3 linked regions of the Lepisosteus oculatus genome follow. The protein of the gene in region 3 purifies or fractionates together with the protein of the main gene of each other region. This does not show direct contact. Links are inferred from orthologs where the notes say so. Each region holds a gene or a part of one and is shown on either strand. Other genes may lie near its edges.

What was found. Proteins that work in one complex are often made in the same cells at the same time.
Region 1: the proteins of dbn1 (region 3) and twf1b purify together in Homo sapiens (affinity purification with mass spectrometry; 3 studies listed by BioGRID and IntAct, with this or other methods). This does not show direct contact. The link is inferred for Lepisosteus oculatus from reciprocal best matches to the Homo sapiens genes DBN1 and TWF1.
Region 2: the proteins of dbn1 (region 3) and gelsolin purify together in Homo sapiens (co-immunoprecipitation; 3 studies listed by BioGRID and IntAct, counting the BioPlex papers as one, with this or other methods). This does not show direct contact. The link is inferred for Lepisosteus oculatus from reciprocal best matches to the Homo sapiens genes DBN1 and GSN.

The regions. Positions count from the first base shown.
Region 1 is NC_090702.1:29,640,635-29,647,947, reverse strand, and holds the start of twf1b (twinfilin-1), read right to left. Parts: upstream 3,016-7,313; 5' UTR 2,742-3,015; coding exon 2,717-2,741; intron 1,527-2,716; coding exon 1,449-1,526; intron 654-1,448; coding exon 475-653; intron 1-474. UniProt on the Homo sapiens protein: Actin-binding protein involved in motile and morphological processes. Inhibits actin polymerization, likely by sequestering G-actin. By capping the barbed ends of filaments, it also regulates motility.
Region 2 is NC_090719.1:14,697,780-14,705,017, forward strand, and holds the start of gelsolin, read left to right. Parts: upstream 1-4,223; 5' UTR 4,224-4,737; intron 4,738-7,238. UniProt on the Homo sapiens protein: Calcium-regulated, actin-modulating protein that binds to the plus (or barbed) ends of actin monomers or filaments, preventing monomer exchange (end-blocking or capping).
Region 3 is NC_090706.1:39,983,797-39,990,816, forward strand, and holds the start of dbn1 (drebrin), read left to right. Parts: upstream 1-4,005; 5' UTR 4,006-4,094; intron 4,095-4,107; exon of another isoform or gene 4,108-4,185; 5' UTR 4,186-4,221; coding exon 4,222-4,304; intron 4,305-7,020. UniProt on the Homo sapiens protein: Actin cytoskeleton-organizing protein that plays a role in the formation of cell projections. Required for actin polymerization at immunological synapses (IS) and for the recruitment of the chemokine receptor CXCR4 to IS.

The DNA.
Region 1 (7,313 bases), on a different chromosome or scaffold from region 3:
TCTCAAATATCTTTGAAGAACTGAGTGAGTGTTTGCTTCCATTGCAAAATAAGATTTTAAATACTGAGCATTCTTGTGGACAGGAGACAATCAAAAGGGTCACACGACAGTTCAGTAGAGACACAGTGTTGAGTATGGCCAGCAGGAGTCATAGGTGCACACATGCAGCTGCGACAAGCACAACCCCATTATACAGATAAGACACTTTGTTAATTCTGTACTGAATCTATATTTCATTTTTAATAATCAGTAGCCATGGCCTTAGCCAGGAAAAGTGGACTGTACTGGGTCTTCTAATACTTGTGAATACTGTGAAACATCAGTAGAACAAAGCTGCAGTTTTCTGGTACCATATTCAGTTCTTGCAAAGCAACATTAAATCCTTAAACACAGGTTCGAGTCTGTAACGTACAATGAAAAAATAACAATTCTTTCATTTTTTGGGATATCGTTACCGTATATTGGATAGCTTACAGGTGAATGATCTGGTGACCAGGCTAGAAAAATCCACTCAAATCCCTGAGCATTTTGTGAGTCCAACCTGTAGAGGATATATGATGGCTGGTCATCCTCTAATAAAGGAAGAACATACAAATCATATTCTTTGTCCCAGGTCTTCACAGCTTGTTTGGTGCTGCCGACTACCAGCTCTTCTGAAATAAAAAGATTGAACATGCATGAGTCTTAATTATTAAGAATATAACTACACTGATGCCTTTGATTATATGGGTCTATATCCTGTTATTTCACATATTTTTTTAAATAAAAAGAAATACATATTGGATTGTATTTATTAAAAATAATTCAATTTTGTGTACTGTATTTACACATGTGTATCCTATTTTTTGCCATACATTTTGGAAACTTTTTTAATGAAGAAAGCAGGTTTTTAGCACTGCAAAATAGGGAAGTGCAGTTAAAAAAGTCACAAAGTGTCTAAAATTTTCTTGATCAAACCTAATTTCAAGTCCCATTATTATCCACATTCACTGATCTGGATATGGGTGTTTTTTTTCTACATATTTAATACACTTTTACATACTAATAGATGCAACAATATAACATGCTGAAAGAAAACTAGTTACTTGTACACGGCTAAGCATTTTATCTTTCACTTCTAATTTGACGCTATCAAATGTATGAATATGCCAGGTAATGAGAAACCATAAAAACATTCAGTGAAGAAACATGTTTTCATTTGATTCAGTTATGACATAAAAGCCTTTTTTAGTTCTTGACTTTGTGCTATCGTAACTGGGGATTTCGTGTTTTATTAATTTTAACTTACTGGTTGTCTTGGTTTTAACTTTTTCTTCTGAATAATATTTTTTTACATTATCACTGATGCAGTTGTCCTAAAAGGGAAAAGGCTGGCATTTGTATTACATATCATAACAGAAATCACAAGTAAATTATAATTCCATACTTTACATAGAGTTAGAACTGACCATTCTCGATCACAATCTTGAGGAGCCGATAGTTCCCATTTCTGGCATTTGCAAAAATGTCTTTCACTTCTTCAGCAGCTGAAACAAAATTTTAACATTATTAAACTACACGTCTAGCTACTAATTGAAGCATACTATACACGTTAAGTACACATTGTTTTTATGTACATAAATGCATGACACTTAAACATTGCAGAATAAAATGAACTGCTGATGTCACAATTCAACAATACTGGCAAATGAAAGAGTGGACAGCTCCCTTGCCCCTCAATCAGGTTTTAGTACTGAATTTAATTAAAGGATTTTCAAATTAAGCTCAAAACTAATTTTAATTTATGAAGAAACAAAATAAACTTTATTTTTGGAACAACAATCTTACAAGAGGAAAATCAAGGGCAGAAGACAAAACTACAGTCTCATGAGAACTGTCTGTAAAGAGACAGGAACAGTGTGTTGCAAGAGATGTATGTCTACCAGTACTTATAATAAAGGCATAAGAGCGCATCCAAAGTGCTCAAAAAAAACTTAAGCCAATGAATTTTCATTAACATTTCATGCATCTGTCCTTATAAGAATTATGAATGTGCTTTACACAAACATCCTGATTAAGCACACAAATGCATTAGCATTAGAGTATTTAATTGATTTTGTTTCTGGTAAATAATGTAGTCAACAGTCAAATACCCTAGTTTTCTAAATAAAACAAGTGATTTTCTTTTATTGTATTGACACGACAGTAAGAGATCTGTATAGAATCCCCTTTCCATACTTATTTCCTGACCCACTATAAAAATCATAAACGTTTTGGTTTTTAAGGGAGGAACTGATACACTTGTGGGGGGAAAAAGTAAGTCTGTCTGTCTCATCGGTTTGTTGGCAAGGCCAGGACCCAGTCATATCCTTCTAAATTCCTCTGTAGGCGTTGTCTCACCATAGCTGCTTTCTACTGAAGGTGCTGTGGATACTTCATTTGCACAAGACCTTTGTTCTAGGCAGTACTAATGGAGCAACCACAACACACGTATAGCAGATCACCAAGCATGTTTCATTTCACGTACGTTTTTTTTCATTCTAACTCAACAGACAAAATAATACAATTAGTTATATTATTCTCCTTTGCAAAGAGATACAACAGGCTATCCAACAAGAACTTCCATTTAATCTAAAGCGGTATTGATTACATCGTAACTGAACTTCTTCCTCTTTTTAACCACGATTATGTTTTTTTAACAAGATAAGAGATTAGACACAGATTTAAAATAATTTACCTTGAATGCCAGTTTGATGGGACATTATTTGTTTCTCTGAAGTCGACCGGCTGATTAGAAGCGAAAGAACAAGGAAGAAGAAACTGAACTACACAGCAATTCTACACCGGCTTCGACTTGACGTCACCGGCAGCAGCAGAGACTCCAAAGTCACGTGGCCAACACTGGGCTCAGAAGAGGTGGAAGTTCAGAGCTGTTCGTCTAGCTAGGGCATGCATGAGCTTGTTAATGTCTGGATATGTTAGCTGTTCGAACCTTCCATAAAACCTGTAATTCCGTATCACATATCTATTAAAGCAAACACTACGCAATGTGAATGTTTCCATAAGTATGCACAGCATGCAATAAAAATGTAAAATTTCACTCAAAATTAAAGGTTTATGTAAAATTTCAAATGATTGGATTTCGGAATTATCTCGTATTGAAAAGTCACGTCGAATTAACATATGGACACACGTCTGAAGGGAAAACAACACCGCCTGAAGAAATGCAAGAACATAAAGCCATTAGTCTTTAACTCCTTGATTTTTTGTGTAAAAATGCATTATACACGGAAGTCTAGTTTTTTGCGGATCATTCCAATTTGCTGTAAATTTAATTTGATCCATTCATATTGATGCAACTAACTTTATAAGTTAAATATTGTATTGCCTCAGTTCAAATATTCAACATGATAACTTCCAGGAAAAAAAAATGTTAGAGTAAGTACCGAATACCTCAAATTCCATCTATTTTCACAAATTAGTGTGAGATAAAAGCTGCACTAAGCACCTGTTATACAAGGCCAGTAAAACATTTTCTAACAACCGCTAGAGGCTCTTATTCTTAACAAGAATTGCGCATGCTCTTGTCACTACGTATCTGTACCTAGAGATATTGTACTGCATTATGGGATATCAATGACCAGGGGATGGTAAAACTAGCACATTTTTTAAGCTGGCACCAATCTTGTTATAAGGTATAGGCAGTTTGTTCTCGCTGTGTCATCGTCGGCTGTAGGGTACTTGCAGAAACGTGTCGTTACTTGCAAAGTGTGATGCATTATCAAATCAATGGGAAAACTAATAAAACAGTAAAACAAGTTAAAATATGATGGACACAGTTGTACATCCAGCGTTACTACATTCCTAAATTTATTTATAAAGAAATAACAATTCATACACTGTGGATTAAATTGTTGTAATTCAGTAGAAATCTAATCGACCTCTTGTTGTAGTGAAATTAGTAAACGTGGAAGAAATATTATTTTGAAATAGGTACAATTCTGTCAAGCAATGCTCATAAGTTATAACACTAAATATATAATGTCGTGAATAACGTTGTTGGAGAATGTGCCAAAACATGATTCATAGTAGGAACAGTATTGCTTTGCAAAGCCAGCTACAGTATATATACACATACAGTGCATACTGACACAGAAATGTATCTGTGAGGTGAAATGCAAATTCCATTCAGAAATACAATTTCAAGTGTTTTAACTTTTTAACTTTTACTCATTTAGCTGGTGTTTATGAGATCATATGCAGAAGTTTTTTTTCTTTCAATGCTATATTCCAGAAAATATATGTTAAACTTCACTCCATGAACAATCACCAACACATTATAAATATAATTTTTAAATACTGTCAACAGGAAAAAGGATTGCTTAAGTAGGTTTTGAAAGGACAACAGCAATAATCCCTTGAGGTTTGCAGGGTGCTGCAGATATATTTATCTTTTACTGTGTATTTGATTATAAGATTCCAATAATATCTTCCGCTGAGTGAATTATCTGGCTAACCACTTTTCAGAAGAAAAGATTAATTAAATTTGGTCCATAATCTATGGTAGTTCAAAATGTTTTTAGGCTATTACAGAGATTTATTTATAGATACAGTATTCCTCATCTAGAAGCATATTTAAAAAATACCTTTTGGTAGATCACAGTATTGCTGACATTCTGTTTGAACATGAATGATATTAATACTGAAATATAATATTTCTGAAAAGGTTACTGATTATTTTGAACTATTTAAAATCTTAAGAGCTTGATTCTACTTCTGAGCAATTTGTTTAGTATGAGATAAGCAGTTTGCACTTGAAGAATTCCAAAGTGTCTTTACTGTACATAAAAACTTCAATGTTTTTATGTTTAAAGTAAGTTTCTTTCTTAATTTTGTATACAGTACAGTATATTGACTGATTTAATTAGGTTCCTAAAAATGTCAATAAAATACAAACAGAAAAATACTCTTTCATTCTAGAGTTTTTTAAAGGAGGATTTCTTTATACTGTATACTGTACATATTTGAGTTTCAAGACTACTTTCATATCCGCGTTCTGACAATTATTCATGACACGTATTTCACTGCTTGATTTTCAACTTTAGACAAATTGTGTGCAAAATAAATCAGGAAGTATCAACAAACTATAGCTTTAAAATATCAAATATTGCAATTCATAGTTTGATGCTTATTGTTTTCAACCAGTTTAAAAAATATTCTATCTTATTCAAAATATTATAAAGAAAAAGAAGAAAACATATCACAAGAGAAGCAAAAGTCTGTGGTGGTACTTATAAGTATTTAAGGATTCAAATGAATAAAACTAAGTAATGGAGCTGCATCTCCATGTTCAAAATGGTCCCTATCTGTCTTTTGTCTTACCTTCATAGATACACTTGGAAGAAACATTATTTTCATCAGGATGACCCAGCATGTTTGTTGCACTACTGGATGCTGATAGTATGTGCTGTGGGGAGTGCATTTTTCAGCTCTGCATTTCCCTGACACAGAACAGCTGAACACCCAGCCATGCTGACGAAGCAGTGCCTTTTCTGCCTTCTCACTGCTGCTTGTAAAACAACTACAAAGCTAATGGATTTGGGAGTGTGACTGCCATAGAAAGAGACAGGTCACATGGCCAGTCTAGTGACACTGCAAGACATGATTTCCTCTTGCTAGTAGAATAATTCTAATGTTGTCAGCTCAGTGAGCATGATGATGCTGCCAAAAGCCGAGTGGGATCTGGCTTCTTGTCCCCGGAGCACAGCCTGAAGAAGGAAGAAGTGGTGTGGTAAGTTGGTGTATTCAGTATGTAAATATGTTATTCACTGAACAATCTTTCTCCAGCCTGCAGCCAGACAGTTATCAAATAGACTTCAGCCTTAAAATTTGACAATTCCAGCAGCTGTTGCCTTGGTAATATAATAAAACAAAGCACTGTCAGGAGCAGGGAAGACTGACTTCATTCCTAGGACACAGAGAAGTGACAAATTAGTGCTATTACATTTTGCATGTGTTAATGTGGAATAATCTTTTAAACACTTGACAATATATTTTTAATTTCCTTAAGACCCAGAAATTGTTAGAAACGAGAAACTTCTGTTGTATGCTGGATTGAAAAAATGAAAATGCATTTCCTGTAATGCTAGTCAGCTGTTTGTCTATTTTTATTGGCCACTTGAGCTAAAGAGCATTTCTTAAGGTGGACCAAGGACAGAAAAATAATGTGAGGGATTTAGAGAAACTGTTATTTACCCCTCTTACTATACATAAAATAATAATAGTAATAGTTATTGTTACATTATTGATATATCATTTATTTAACCAATCGTGCAATTAGTTAAACTATGTGTGCAATATTTGGTATGTTAAAAATATTGTTTCTTGACATATTTAACTATCAAGAGATATGTGTTAAGAATCTAAGATACTGTGTTCATTATGGATTAACTTCATATTCACAGATAGACAAGGGTAATGCACAAATGAGTTAAGATTGTTAAGAAAAGAACTGGGATTAAGTGAGAGCTACACATCCTTTTATAGTAATTTGGTATGAATCCAGTTGTTTAGGTTTGTTAATTTAATTTTATGTTCATTTAAACTGTCAAAGTTGGATATTCCTTTTAGGCCGGGAATGTATTTTGTTGCTCCTCTACAATGAAATTCAAGGACAACAATCGTTTTTGTATCAGAATTGTAAAAATATTCTAAATGAAGTCATACAAGTGTAACATATTACCCTTTGCTTAAAAATCTATGCTTTTAACTATACTGTACTACTATTGCTATTTCAGAGTCTAGATTAATGATATAAATTAGGAAGAGCAGTAGTTCAGACTCAGATGTCTATTACCATACAACTGCCATTTTACATTGGAAGTAAGGGTTATTGGTCTACAATTACTTGGGTTAGTTTTGTCACAGTTGGAATAGTTTTACTAATGACCTATGAACAACATCCCTAAAACTGTGTTCATCTTACAGTAAGTGCTTCTGGTACCTGTAACTCTCATGTATTTTCTGTGCTAAAAGTATATAATCTAAAGCTCCACCTTTCCTCACCCTGAAGCATGCAGTTGATTTCTCCCATGATAAAAAGTGTAGTGAAATATTTAATACAGAAGCCATCATCCTTTTATTTTCTAAATGTTTTCAATTTTTATGCCTGAGAGACATTACTTCATGGTTAACTAGTGTTTTGTTGTGGTCATATTGAAAACATATTACCTGTCTTCTATTTCAGTAGAATTTTCTCTCTTTCTAATACCCGTTTTTACTTGAACTAACTGTACTTGAATCATTCTTAAAGTGCTTTGTTTCACTTTATATTT
Region 2 (7,238 bases), on a different chromosome or scaffold from region 3:
CAAAAGCCACCGGCCAGCGCCGCCCGCAGCCCCGCAAAACGAGCGAAAACAAGAGGGGGGAAAAACCGACACGAAACGTCGACAGTCACCTTCCCGGCGTGCAGAACCCGCCGCCGTGCAGGAATGGAGCGGACGGGCTTGCCGAGCCGGATAATATTCGCGATCTGGGTGTAGTCACCCCCTCCTCCTTCCTGCCTGCCTTTCTCTCCCCCCCCCGACGACAAGGGAGAGATTCTCATCCAGAGGCGACCGCCCGGCTCCGACAGCCGCCGGCGGGGCGGCCCGGAGGTCCGGCCCGGCCCGCTTACCGTGATTCCGAGGGCGGCTGCGTCGACTCGCTCCGGCGCTGTGAAGGGATCCGCAGGGCGATCCTGGGCTGAGGAGTCTGCCGATCCAAGATGGCGGCCCGCGCTGCACAGGGTTTCCTCCGTCACACACAATGGGCCTGGGGGGACAAAGGGCAGCGGCGCGCGCCCGGCGCCCGCGCGAGGCGCGAGGCGCGAGGCCACGGGCCACGGGCCACCGGCCACGGGCGTCCCGTCCCGTCGGCAGCACTGCGGAAGTATCGCCGTGCACGGTGTGCACTCAGCTTCACGGTGACACCGACACGGCACTGTGCTCCTACAGAGGGGAGAGTCCTGTGTCCCGGACTATTCAAAGTAATAATAATAATATGAATCAGTTTCCCTACGGGATCAATCAACTCTTATCTATCTCTATCTCTCTGATGATACAGCGTTTCCCTACGGGATCAATCCACTCTTATCTATCTCTTATCTCTCTAACGACACAGCTTTATTTTCTATAGCGCCTTTGAGGGCTTTACAGGACGGCGCCAACAACAGGTGTGAAGGCGTGTTGGCGGACTTTTTGGAAATGTAAAAACGTGAAATGAAAACTGTGCGCACCTTACTGGCTCTTGACTCTGTTTTGTCAAACGGACGATGTTATTGATATGTTGTATGTACTCTTGTTTGCGTTGTATTTTCTTTCGACTGTATTTCTACTATTAAACCCTATCTTTATCAAAATAAACGACAGTACAAGGACTGGACTTGTATTATTATTGTGGCTTTCACCTTCAGAGGTTTTTTGTAAGTGATGAACATGTAAATTAAATAAATAACGTGAGTTAGTTACTAGATAATATCACAGGAACTCTATTAAAGAGGTGAGACCTTTGTTGTACATTTCAGTAAAATACATGGCAGTGATAATAATATTTCACCTTGTTGACCAGTTTATAAACACTGACACTGTGGTATCACGTATGAACAACTGATTTTATAGTACGCCTCTCAGTCATAAATCTAGTTTCCAGACATGATGGTAATGTGAGAAAGGGCCTCTTTTTCAGAGGATGTGATTGTTTTTCTGAAGTGACTCAAAAGATTGCAGCGTCTGCTCTGGATCAGGGTCTCGTCCGGGTAAGGATGCAGATCTGGCTCCTGCAGGGTGCCTGGGACGCAGGAGCCAGGAGGAAGTGGTCAGAGACATCACAGCTGATCAGAGCTGGGGGTGTGGACCTCGGCGAGGCAGCCCTGCTAACGGACAACAAGCAGGCTGCACATTTCTGCTCTCCCCCGCGGCTGGCTGGGGAGTTTCCCCGATACAAGCTCCTTCTGCTCCACTGCTGCAGCCTGTCGCACCGCCCTGTGAAGCTCAGCGTTGAGCACTGCAGCCTCACAGCCCTGGGTTCAGTTCCCGGGGTGCTGTCTGTGTGGAGTTTGCATGTTCCTCGCTGGTTTGTGTGGGTCTGCTCCAGTTCCCCCCCCACAGCCCAGAGGCATGCTGGCCTGCAGCCTCAGTCCGAGTTTATCCCCAAGGTCAGTCCAGTTAGCAGGTTTGTGTCTGGCAGCTGGCAGCTCACTGTGGCTCAGCAGGTGTGAGTCTGGCCAGTACCTGGAGGGGAGACTCCTGGGAAACACTAAGGCTGCTGCTGGAAGAGGTGTTAGTGGGGCCAGTGGGGGGCGCTCACCCTGCGGTCTGTGTGGGTCCTAATGCCCCAGTATAGTGACGGGGACACCGTACTGTAAATACTTGCAGTCTGTTTCCCTGAGACCCTCCGTGATCATGTCCTCTGACTGCTTGGCCTCCTGTTCTGTGATAGCTTGGGTCCTCCTGCTCCTAAAAAGGCGAATTATGATGATGATGATAATTATTATCATTATAATAGCAGCTCAATGTGTCCGGGAAGAAAACCGTCGCCCTTCTCCACGGGTAACGTTGCTGGCAAAGCTGCTGTTGACAAGACAGAGACGGTCTCGCGGGAGAAGGTGGGCGGGGCTTGAAAGGGTGGCAGGACCTGATTGGGCGATTCGGTTACACGTCTTCACCTTACGGGGTCATGGAGACGTCACTTCCGGGGTGGAGGGATTACATAGTCGGAGACCCAGGGCTGGGTAGTTCGGAAGACAGCCGCCAGAGGGCGATACATTACAAGCTATAAAACTATTTGGCATCCCCCTTTATCGTTGATATGGAGGCTTCATATTATCCATTCATTTTCCAACGGCTTTGTCCGATACAGGATGCGAGGGATCGGGAGCCTATCCCGGCAGGCAACGTTGGCAAGGGGGATACACCCTTTGCAGGACGTCACATAACCGGACAGAATATTGATCTGCAATACTCCTGTTTTTCTCAGCGAGGTGCATTATTATTATTAATAATAATAATAATGCTTACACTTATATAGCGCTTTTCTGGACACTCCATTCAAAGCGCTTTACAGGTAATGGGGATCCCCTCCACCCCCACCAGTGTGCAGCCCCTCCTGGAAGATGCCAGTTCATAGATGGGGATTATTAGGAGGCCATGACTGGTAAAGGCCAGGGGGATATTTTGGGCCAGGACGCCGGGGTTACGCCCCTACTCTTTTCGAGAAACGCCCTGGGATTTTTAATGACCACAGAGAGTCAGGACCTCGGTTTTGCGTCTCATCCGAAAGACGGATTGAGTTCAGTTCAGTGTTGTGAACTGATTCAGATGTGGTCCCTTTATTCACCGTGAGGCTGGGAGCTGCTGCTGCCTGCAGCCCTCGGGATCCGGGTTCGATTCTGCCCTGGGGCTCCTTCTGTGGGAAGCTTGCATGTGCTTCCCACTGTTGGCTCAGGTTTCCACCAGGTACTCTAGTTTTCTCCTACCTTCCAAAGACCATGAGGTCACCAAAACATATCTGAGGTGTCTAGAGTGCTTCTAACATCTGCAACACATCTGTCCTTTCTATTCTGAAAAAGGAGAGTCACTGATCTGGCCTCACGTGAAATGATGGTCAGTGTTTCACATCCCTGTCAGGCCATTTTGTGTGCTTGGTCCATAATTAAGCCTAAAGACTCATCAGGCCAGAACTTCTCCCATCTTCTGTAGTACGAAAGCAGGCTGCAGGGCAGCGCTCTCCTCTGCTGACAGGGGTCCCATCTTGGGTCATCCATCCATCTGTCTGCCTGCAGCTCCCGGCTGGCAGCCCACTGGAGCCCAGCAGTGTGAGCCTGGTCGGTACCTGGAGGGGAGACTCCTGGGAAAGCTGGGGCTGCTGCTGGAAGAAAGGTTAGTGGGACCAGTATGGGTCTGTGTGAGTCCTAATGCCCCAGTATAGTGATGGGGACACTATACTGTAAAAAGGAGCCGTCTCTCGGATGAGTCATAAGTCATCTTGACTCTCTGTGGTTATTGAAACTCCCGGGGCGTTTCTCGAAAAGAGTAGGGGTGTTACCCCGCTGTCCCGGCCAAATTTCCCCCGGCCTTTACCAGTCATGACCTCCTTATAAACCCCTTTAATCATCCTTTTCTAACTTGTGGACCACCGGCAGGTTTTGAAATAACAGTCATGGTAATTTTGTCTTCATCATCATATACAGTATATCAGCACAACATGGGAGTGCTTCTTATACCGGTCTGGCCTTTTGTTCGCCTAGATTGAATCATTTAATCTTTTTTTTTTGTAAACAGTTATCGCAACAAAATGCCTCTATTTCGCAAAGTGTGCAAGATCTGTTTGAAAAGCCACTGTGGTGTGATGAAAAAAACCCCCAACAACTTCAGAATAAAACTTCGGAAGCTGTGGAAAAAAAAAGATAACTTGAAAGAAGACGCCTCTATGACATTGGAAGACTTCTGCCTTTACTTGTCAGTACTTGATAAGGGTGGATGTAGTGAAAAATCCGGATGTGAGCCTTAATGACTGGATCAGTCGAAGCTAACAGTGCTTAGTTGTTGTTTTTTTTTTTACAGTTGCAGGCACAATGATCTATGTAGAAAAGCATTAAAAACCCCAGGTATTTATCGTGGGATTCAACACGTTCATCAAAATCGCGTACTTGGATTTCAATACAAAGGAGACGCCATCTGTTTTATGAAGCTTTCATGTGTGCGCACTCATCCATACGGGGGGGAGCACACTTCTGGAATCAGGGCAGGCAAGGCTTTTCTGTTGCTATTGTGGGGGGAAAGGGGACCCTGACTCTTGCACTGTACGAGCACCGTGCGTCTGCCTCCCGAGCGAGCCTCTGTCAAGACTGCAGCGACGACCTGCGAGGTTAAGCGAGCTATTTTCGTCCTGCGGCGGTCTGGGAGCCGGCGAGGGGTGGGCACAGGGCTCGGAGCGCACAGCCTCTCAAAAGGGCGTCGCCCCGGCCGGACGCACCAGACGTGCCCAGAGATTTCTAGCCGTGTAGCAAGAAGGCGATTTCTCTCCCAAAGATCCCGACGCTGACCGACAGCCCCACTGCATTTCAGGTAACGATGACGTCTTACGAAGGATTTGCGCGCATAGCACGGCTTTTGTTTCGTAAAAAAAAAAATCTTATTTGCAGCAAGAACCGTGCAATAATAAAAAACAACATGAAGTCCGCGATGGAACAGCAGCCTGATAGTCTTGTTGAGATACGAGTTATTGGTCGTTTTTTCGATACCCGTTTGGGGTTCAAGTCTCTTCCTGCCTTTGTTAAAGTCCAAGGCTAGCTCCACAGATTCAGGTTTTTTTTTTTAATCGGTGGCGAGTTTATTTCCATCAAGAGAAATCAGTACGCCTCGGCAAACGCCTACTTTGATCGGGACTGATGTTTTTATGAATAGCAATTAAGAAGTTTTATCTAATAGAGTTTTAAAGGCGGCGCTTTATGTTTTGTCCGTGGTTTAAAATGCTTCAAGTTTGCATCGTGTGGTATTTTCATAAAGGTATGGAACAATCTGTAGTGCAATTTGTTTCCAGCATCTGTGGTTGATTGATCTCCTCTTATCTAAACAGCTTTTTGAACCCACAGGGGACAAAAACCTGCAGGATCTACTGTTTTGAAAACAGGGCGCAAATATTCCCATATATGGGCCTTAACAAACTCGCATTAAACCGAAAGTAGGGGGGAAAAACCGTACCAGCAGTTGCAATCCGGAATATTCTTCAGGGTAAGAGTTGTTTGCATACGAGATGCGCTTCATTACTGTGTGGAAGTCGTAATATAAAGATCTGACACGCGTGCCGGTTTTGTAACTTCCCGAAAAAAATATAAACTGTAGATTTGAAGTTTATAAAACATTGTAACATTAATATAAACTGTTCATGTTGTAGTTTACCGCTCTAGCCGTTTACCTGTCTGTTGCCTTCAGCCAGATAAAGTGAACGAACCCCAGGTGGGGCAGGTTTGTACCCTTGAGCACGGCTTACGCACGCTGTACTGCGGGCGTTTTGTTCACAGCAAACCTGTTACTGGTTCCTTATCAAAGTCCATACAAAACTAAATTGAGTAGCACGCATTCTGACTTCTTGACCATGTGTTCACGGAACTGTGTTCTAGAAAACCTCGCTATTATGCGATACTTGGGTACTTAAGTGTAGAAAATGCATGATTAGTTCCAGCACCTGGTGGCGGATGAAGTACAGTTCTGGCACTTTCTTCCTGTACTTTGCATGGTTTTTGTCCTGTCCTAAAGCAGTGTATTAGCAGTGTGTATCTTTCTCAGGTCTGGTCATTTACGCCTTCTGAAGCTTTGTAGAATCCCCGAGTTACTAGGCCTGAGCCACCAGCCTAACGCTAAAAAACTTCTCCCTGTTTAAAGAGGCCAAGTGAGAAAAGCTGTGCATGAGTATACATCGATAATCTAAGAATCTAGAGCCAGCGTTGTGTTAATAAGTCAGATGAGTCAGGTTTTTTTTTTTAAATGCTCATAGATGCTATGTTTGAAACATACAACATATTTTCCATAGTGATTCGTTTGGTAACCATGGAAATGCACACACAAGCAAACACAGGCCACTTTTTGGACCGTAGTGTTTTGGCGATGGCAGGAAGTAACGGCATTAGTTACATTGATTTTCCCCCAAGTTAAAATAAGTTAGTGAGCTGTTGCACAGGAAAACACACAGCCTGAGTCATAAACCCTACAGAATGTTATGGCCTGAGTCCTCCAGCAGTTATTTTGGGATTCATACTTGATCACGAAGAATAGAAAAAAAGGAAATGCTTTTTTTTTTTTTTGCAGTTCAGCAGAGGCAGAAATCACATTGAGCGCCCTGTCAAACAGTACCTGAGCGAGGCGTGTGCTCAGAAAACTGATAACACTCTGACATAGCTGCTTCTACTCAGAGCTGTAAACCATTTCCTGGAGCAAGAGCAAACAGTTTTTGACACACCTCCTGCAGAAGTAAATGAGGAGGGAAACAAGCACATATTTCAGGTTCCATAAACTGTGCACATCGACAGTGTAGGCGGCACAAAAAGAACTGGAAAAACCCCATCGATGGGCACTGTGAACTTGGGAAGCTTCCTTATTGTACAGATGACAGGGGGAAACTGGGAGAGAGGTCGTACAAATAACTGTATAGCTAAAGTAGTTCAGGTGGGCAGCAGCAGCAGCATGCGTAGGCTGCAAAGGAACAAGTAAAGGTTTATTCCCGGCTGAAAAGAGAAGAACAACGTTTTGGCTGTTTTCTTCTCGTTTCAGTAGGGAATAAACCTTTACTTGTTCCTTTACTATATAGCTAAAATGTGTTTTTAGTATATGTAAGCTGTATAGTTATAAGAACAGTAAGTACATGTTAGCGATATAGTATTAACTATATATAGTTTCTAGACTCAAAACAGTCTTCTTTAGAAGAGTCTTTACTTCATTGGTTCTATTATTTACCCCTGTGCTCCTGCCACATTCAATACTCCCATCTACTGCCTCCTCTCACTGTGCACAACTTGTGTATTTTTTAATTGTTGTTGTTCTGTAAAGCACTTTGAGAAGCCACCTTTAAA
Region 3 (7,020 bases):
GTTTCCCATCTTTGATGGGACATTCCATGGGTTATTGTTTAGCCAGCCTGCATGAGCTTTAACTGTGCTAAAAACAAAAACAATTTTTAGTCGGTTGCTTAGTTCATGAATTGGCTTTACTCTTCTGTCATTTGGATCTACAAATCTGACTGCCTCGTCTTCCCAGCACACATTAGCCATCTGCTTTGCAGCTTGGTACTGACTTGCGCTGAGATCCCCAAGTTATAATCAAAGCTAACATTATGAAAACACCGCTGGTTGTAATTTTCCATGAGAGCATACAGTCGCTACCAGAGTAAACAACCCCTCCCGCTTCGCCGGCTGGGTCACTGTTCTGTTGTGGATCCAGCAGACTTCCCTACCGTTTCTTGAAGGAGCCCAGGGAATGGACTTCAGCAACTGCATCTGCATGCAACTGGAAGTGCTTTTAAAACTGAGGACAAAGGGTAGTGGAGGGGTGGAACAGGATACCCAGCCATTTTGTCAAAGCCAATAACCCTGGCTCCTTCCAAGACACACCTGGTGGAGATCCTCACGTCAATTAACCTTAAAACGGCCCAGATGGGCTGAATGACCTCCTCTCGCTTGCACTCTTTCTTGTTTTCTGATGAACAGCTGTTCTAATAAGCATGAACCTCATGGATACTGTTATAGTTAGAGGAGCTCTGGATATTAGCATTACTTAAAAATGAATCAGTTCTGATCACTCCCACCATTTTGTTTCCTACACCTTCCACGATTCCCCGGAAGCACGGCTCCGTCGGCTCGCGTCAGGTCTGTGAGCAGGTGCAAATGCACGGCCCCTAGCTGGCAGCTTCGGTCAGTCTCGGGCTGAGAAGGGCAGCCCTTCTAATCACTCTGATGGAGGGCGGCAGCCCAGTGCTGCTGCACCGGGGGACGGAGGAGCTTGAAATCCGATGCTGGTCTGACATGGTGCGAGAGGAGGAGGGGGGGGCTCTGGGTTCCCAGCCCAGATTGCGCTGGGCAGATGTCTCCCCGAGAGTAATCAACATCACAATTGAAATAATTGGTACCTCCACCATCCGCCTGTCTGGGGGCTCAGGGATTGGCTGAGCACTGAGCACTAATTATTGTTAACCCACTTACAGAGAGAAGAGGCTGCAGGATGTGGGGTGCCCCATTAGGCAGTGGGGAGAGCCGGTGGGGGGAGGGGGTTCTTGTCTGTGTGTGTCAGAGTCAGGGAGAACACGTAACTGCCTGTTTACTACCTGATCTCTGTATAGGTTATATATACGTACATGTGTAAAAAAACGCAGCTGCGGAGGCTGTCTGTGTGTCTCATGGAGAGCAGGCTGGGGTATGCAAAAAGACAAATTCCTAATACAAGAAATTGTATATGGCCAATAAAGTGATCTTATCTCTTATCTTACAAAGTTAACAAAAACAGATGTGAAAATAGCAATTTTGTCATTTTTTCTAAAGCTCTTGATGAAGCGTAGGACACACGTTTCGCTCAGAGGTGGCACTCTTGCTCAGTCTGACACATTAAAACGTTTTCAATCATTTTCACCAAGTGAGGCTCTTTCTCTGCATAGTGTGAAGTGAAACAATGTGAAAACAGTGGAACAAATGAAAAATAAAAAAATGTACGCTACACACTCTGGCACATTGAAGTACGGTTGACAGGCGGTGTCCTACAGTGGTCATGACTGGTGGATGGTGATTACTTAACGTTTTAATGGCCTGGTTATTAGGCATGGCCCCATGGCAGAGAGTCTCCACGAGCTAAAGGTCTGAATTTCAGTTTAAATTTCACTAGGACTCATCTAAGTGTGCAGTACTCTTACAGAATCACCATAGACTATAAAACAAGTAACTAGCCCTGCTCCTGAAGACCCATAATGTGTTCTGGTGTTTAGTGCCAGTTAAGCTTTGAATATTAGTGGTTACTTGCTTCATTGAATGGTATAATGGAGTATGCTGGTCTCTTTTGAAGGACTGTTCAGGTTTAACTTAGGAGACCTTCCAAACTCTCTCTTCAGGAGTAGGGCTGTGGATGTAGGTTCTGCATGGTTACTGTGTTTCCAGAGGTTTTAACTTAAATAGCCACAGCTTTCATGTTACTTTCAATGAAGACTCGTTGAAAAGAGTGCAAGAGTGCACAACTGATCACTTCATATCAAGAGACAGAAGGGAGATTGGGTTAAGTTAAACATTTATGAGCTCACCGCCTTGGAAGGTAAATAAAGGGTTCAAAGACTCCTACAAAGCAATGATTTAAGGCCATCATAACAAGATCATCCCTACTAAAACACTTGGTTCACGGTAAAATATAAACATCCTCACCGATGATGTAATGTTCTTGGATGATTAGCACTAACAAAACTAGGTTTGTTTTTCTTTGTCAGCGAAGGTTACTTTTGCTGCAACAGCTCCTTGAATTCAGTCAGTTTCAGGGTTTTCTGGTGGAAATTGGAGCTCTTCATCATTGGGTCTCAACTTGAAACATGAAAGGAAACCAAATTCTTCAGGACCTAAGGATCAGAGAGCTGCAGTCCTGCAGGCTGTGTAGCCAATCTTAAATAGTCAATGAGCAAAAACCTGAAAAGTATTTGAACTCCTTTGCTTGAAGAAGGAATTAGGCATTTCAGAGCCCAGCTGGAAAGAAAGCCAATAGACACAGTGGCTCTCCAGCAGCAGAGATGAATATTCTCAGTATTGGAACATCGTGTAAATGTAGAACGTAAGAAGACAGAAGCTGAATGTGATATCCACAAGCATGCCTACATGTTGTAATCAGAGATTATCTTTAACATCGTGTATAAAGGGGACATACACGGTTCACATACTAAACATCAAAACAAACTGCATAACTCAAATTCACAAGGTTATCAGTGTAAGGACAATCATTTTGTATCAGGCCACCTCACTTGTTATTGATGGATGTGATGGACCGTAGGTAAACTCCTTATGCTGATTAAAATATGTGATCCACAGGGTTGATGGGAGCTCTTCACAGGCCAATGGCACGTGTGGGGAATGCTGGAAGCTGTACAAAAACTGCACAAGCATGATTTAGCGTACACCGGGTTGCAGATGATGCTTGGTGAAACTCTCTCTACCAGCATGATTCCTCTCGATGTTCCTGGACAAACCTGTGCACTGGTCTCTGATCCCTAAATGCTAAACATATTCCCAACACACCCACCCCACACACAGACGCGCATCAGGCTTTACATGTGGTGAACAGAGCCTCCCTGGCACAGCTGCCCCACCTTCACCTGGCAAGAAGGCCCTCGTGTGTTGTGTGTTGTCGAGCCTTCAGGAAGGTCCCAGTGTAGCTCCGTGCAGTCGGGCTGCCTTCAGTCTCTACAGGAGCTGTTCTGCAGACGCTGGACACTCCTGCCCAGAACATCACACCTAGACCTCCCTGTTGACCGGGCTATGAACACCACAGTTAGAGTATCATTCTGCACCCCTGCGCCACACTCGCGGACGTCCTTCAGGGACGTTCAACGCAAGGCCTTGATTCGTCTCTCAAGGGGACTCCAGCGAAGCTGTCCACTTGAGGTGTGGCTCCAACAAACCGAGGACACAAAAGCCTCTTTCTCTGGAGGAGTGGAGTATATCGGTTCCTTTCTGTGTATCCCTTTCTTCATTTTCACCGGGCTGGACAGGAACAAACTCTCCGCCGGTTCCGAGTCAACCTTCTCTCCCGCCAGGAGATTCCATACGTAAGCAGCTATGTCACTGGAGTGTGTCAGGATCCGTCGCAAAAATGGCTGAATAATCAATGACGGTATCCCCATTGTTCAATCACCGGTCTGTCAAAAAACATTGAATCAGCGACCAAAATCTGAATGTATTTTTTAAAGGCCAGCCTTCACCAGTAGAGCGATAGGCTTCTTTTGAACCCGAAGAAGGCTCCACAGCCGAAACGTTGTGTTTCCTTCCTTCTCTTTCCAGCAGGGAATAAACCTTTGCTGGCTTCTCTTGATTGTCAGTATACCCTGTCAAGAATGACATCATCAGCGCAGTCCATATATGGCCGGGCTGGGCCGGCGCTAGGACCCGGCGTTGTAACCTGCGCCTCCCCGCGGTGGTGGTAGCACTAGGACCGAGCAGAACATTAGGTTAGTGCAGAGAAGGACCGTCTCTTTGTTCCAATCTCGAGATCTGTCTCCCCGCAGCCTCACTCTCTCCTCTCCTTTTATTCCATTACAGTATTACACAGGTCTGGATGACTGCGAGGACAGCAAAATGGCTGTGAATCTCAGCAAGAATCGACTGGCCCTGTTAACAGCCTACCAGGATGTTATCAGCGAGACTTCGTCCACCGACTGGTAAGGCAAACGTACATAGGTATCCCCACCCGCTGGTGTGGTGCTGGGGTTTTATTATAAGGCGTAGGCTTGTGCAATATCACTGCCGAACAATGTGGGTACTGATGTCCACGGCCGGGGAATGATGCCTCATCATACTACTGTACGGTTTGCGCTGAAACGCCTCGGATAGATGCAGCAGCAGCCTTTCTGTGGATAAACTCTGGGCAGGCGATAAATGCTTTTGGCACTTGGGGTGCAGCCGTGCAAAATCAGTTACTTTGCATGTTTAATGACCGCAGTTTATGGAAATGTAAGCTGATATCACCTTACGTGATACGGCATGTTGATTTCGTGACAAACACCCCCCCCAACCTTATTGTACCCCCCAAAAGAGAAAAGGTCAGACTTTAACACCAGGGTTTTTTTAGAAAAAGGAAAAAAAAACACTTGATTAGCTTTGGGATTTGATAATGCTTTGCGTTCAACAGACAATTGATTCGTTAGCCATATTTTAGTATTTTTTATTGCACATAATTTTGCCTTTCTTGTTCTCTTTTTTTGGGGGGGCCAATTTACCCCCTCGTGAGTCCGTCACGCATTACGCATTGTCAGAAATCCGAGTAGCCGCTAATGTTTTGCAAGATGTACTATTGTTTGCTCTGTCACAGGCTGCTCTGCCTCGGATGACCGCTAGTTCAGGCTAATTTGTAGTTCCGAAGCTTTTTCCGTTGGTCTTTTTTTTTTTTGTCGTACTGGGCACGGCTGAGGAGGGGTCCACCTCGCTCCTGTCGCTCGGCTGTGCTCCCTGACAGCACCTCCGCGAGTGGTGGAGTGGGCGAGGCGAGAAGGGACCGGCTTTCGGCGCAACAGTCAGCCCCAAGCCCACTGGCTCGGCACACGAGTGTGTGGCGTGCCCTTGCATCCCGTCGGATCCGACGCCAACGGCGTAGTAACTTTCTGCGGCGTTTCAGCTCGGCGGTGGCGATGTTCCTCAGCCCGCAGCCCGTGAGCACCTGGGGTGTGATGGGCAGTTGTTCATGCCTCGTTAGAGGACGCAGTGTTTTAGCTGCGTTTCAGCGGATTGATGAGATGTTTCCTTGGCTGAAGACAGGAGTCAATCGCTGATATAATTATTCATCGGAGCGCAGCTGTGCCGGGGAGAGGGGACAGCAGGGTCTATAGATTTTTTTTTTGGGGGGGAGGGTAGGACTTTCCTTTTGAAAATAACCTAAAGGTTTAAACAGGATGTCCATAGAACCCATTTATATAGAGAACCAGGACTTTTCTATAGGATCTGTAGGTTGCTTTATGAAGGGTGCACAGTGAGTGTGGCGGTATAAAGACATGGAGATGTAATCCCAAAGGCTTGTAACAGGACTGCAGTATTTTGCTAAGGAGGACTGCTGGGAGGAAAGCTTAGGTGTCTACTTGTACTTCTACGAGAACGCAGCAGTTTCACTAGACTGTGGTAACTGTTGCAGGAGTGGCCCTGGTACTGTATTCACCTCTTGCAAGGAGACAAAGACAAAGACTCCTCCCTTTGAATAAGAGCTGAATCAATTTTTAGAATTGATGAGTTGCCTGGACATGAACAAAGTATATGCAGCAATGGGAAAATGAAGAAAACGTGTGACTATCTGAGCTGAACGTACCTACCTGCCTGTGCATAAGTTTATCAAGTCATCTAAAAACGTGAACTGGATCTGGCCGCTTGCATTGGGAGTCTTGTTTTCCCGTTGTAACGTTCATCTGTAGAGGAAACCCGGTTCTTTGCAGGTTGTTGTTTGTTTGTCTTTAATGGGATCAATCTTTTAGACAACTAGATAGGTGGTGGTTTTTGTCAGGTCATCTATAGGTCATTTCTGTACGATAAGAGTTTCTCCTGTGTGTATGTCGGAACACTTTACTCCAGTGCTCACATCCCTGTAGTGGCTGCCTGTTGACCTTTTACATTTGCTTTAAAGAAGCTGATGTCACTTTCCTGAAAGAAGACGTCACTTAAAAGAAGTGATATCTATATCCTTCATGGGTTAGGGTAAGGGGCTTATGTTTGTCCAGGAAATACTCCACACACTCCAAATCATTTGCAAAGGTCTAAGATCAGTGAGTGGATCACTGAGCATTGTCTTCAGCTGGTTGGGTTCTGCAGATTTCTGTGGCTCCAGATAAATTAATTCCATTTCACATTAGGACTGTCTCAAGTGAATATTATTTTAGGTTAAAGCAGTCATGCATAGCTGGACTGGGGCTGTCCTGCAAGCGTTTGTGTCTTGTTTTGAATGCGGCGCTGCTTTGTGATGTGCCTTGGAATGACAGTCGCTCCGTCCTCATGAATCTCGTTTTCACAGAATTGCTTTCATGCTGCTGGAAATGGAAAATTTGACATTTGTCCTCCAATGTGATCCGAAAGAATAAAAAGGAGTGGTGTGAAAATGGGGTACCTAATATGGACTCCAAGGTCTTCTTCAGGAATAAATGAAACGTCCTGTTTGTTCCTACAGTTTGCAGACACAGCTGGGGGGTCGTAGTCCCAGGTGTCACTGTAAAGTGACCAAGAGCATTGTAACCAATATCCAAAATAAAACAGTGTTGCTTATGCTTAATTCTCAATTAGTGTTGGTCAAACCTAACTCTGAAGGGTTTTTCTGTTTATCAGTATTGTAATTCTGTTTTTAAACTGAAACGCATCTGCAGAACTTCCAAGTAAGTAAATCTGGAATTTCCTTACAGCTCT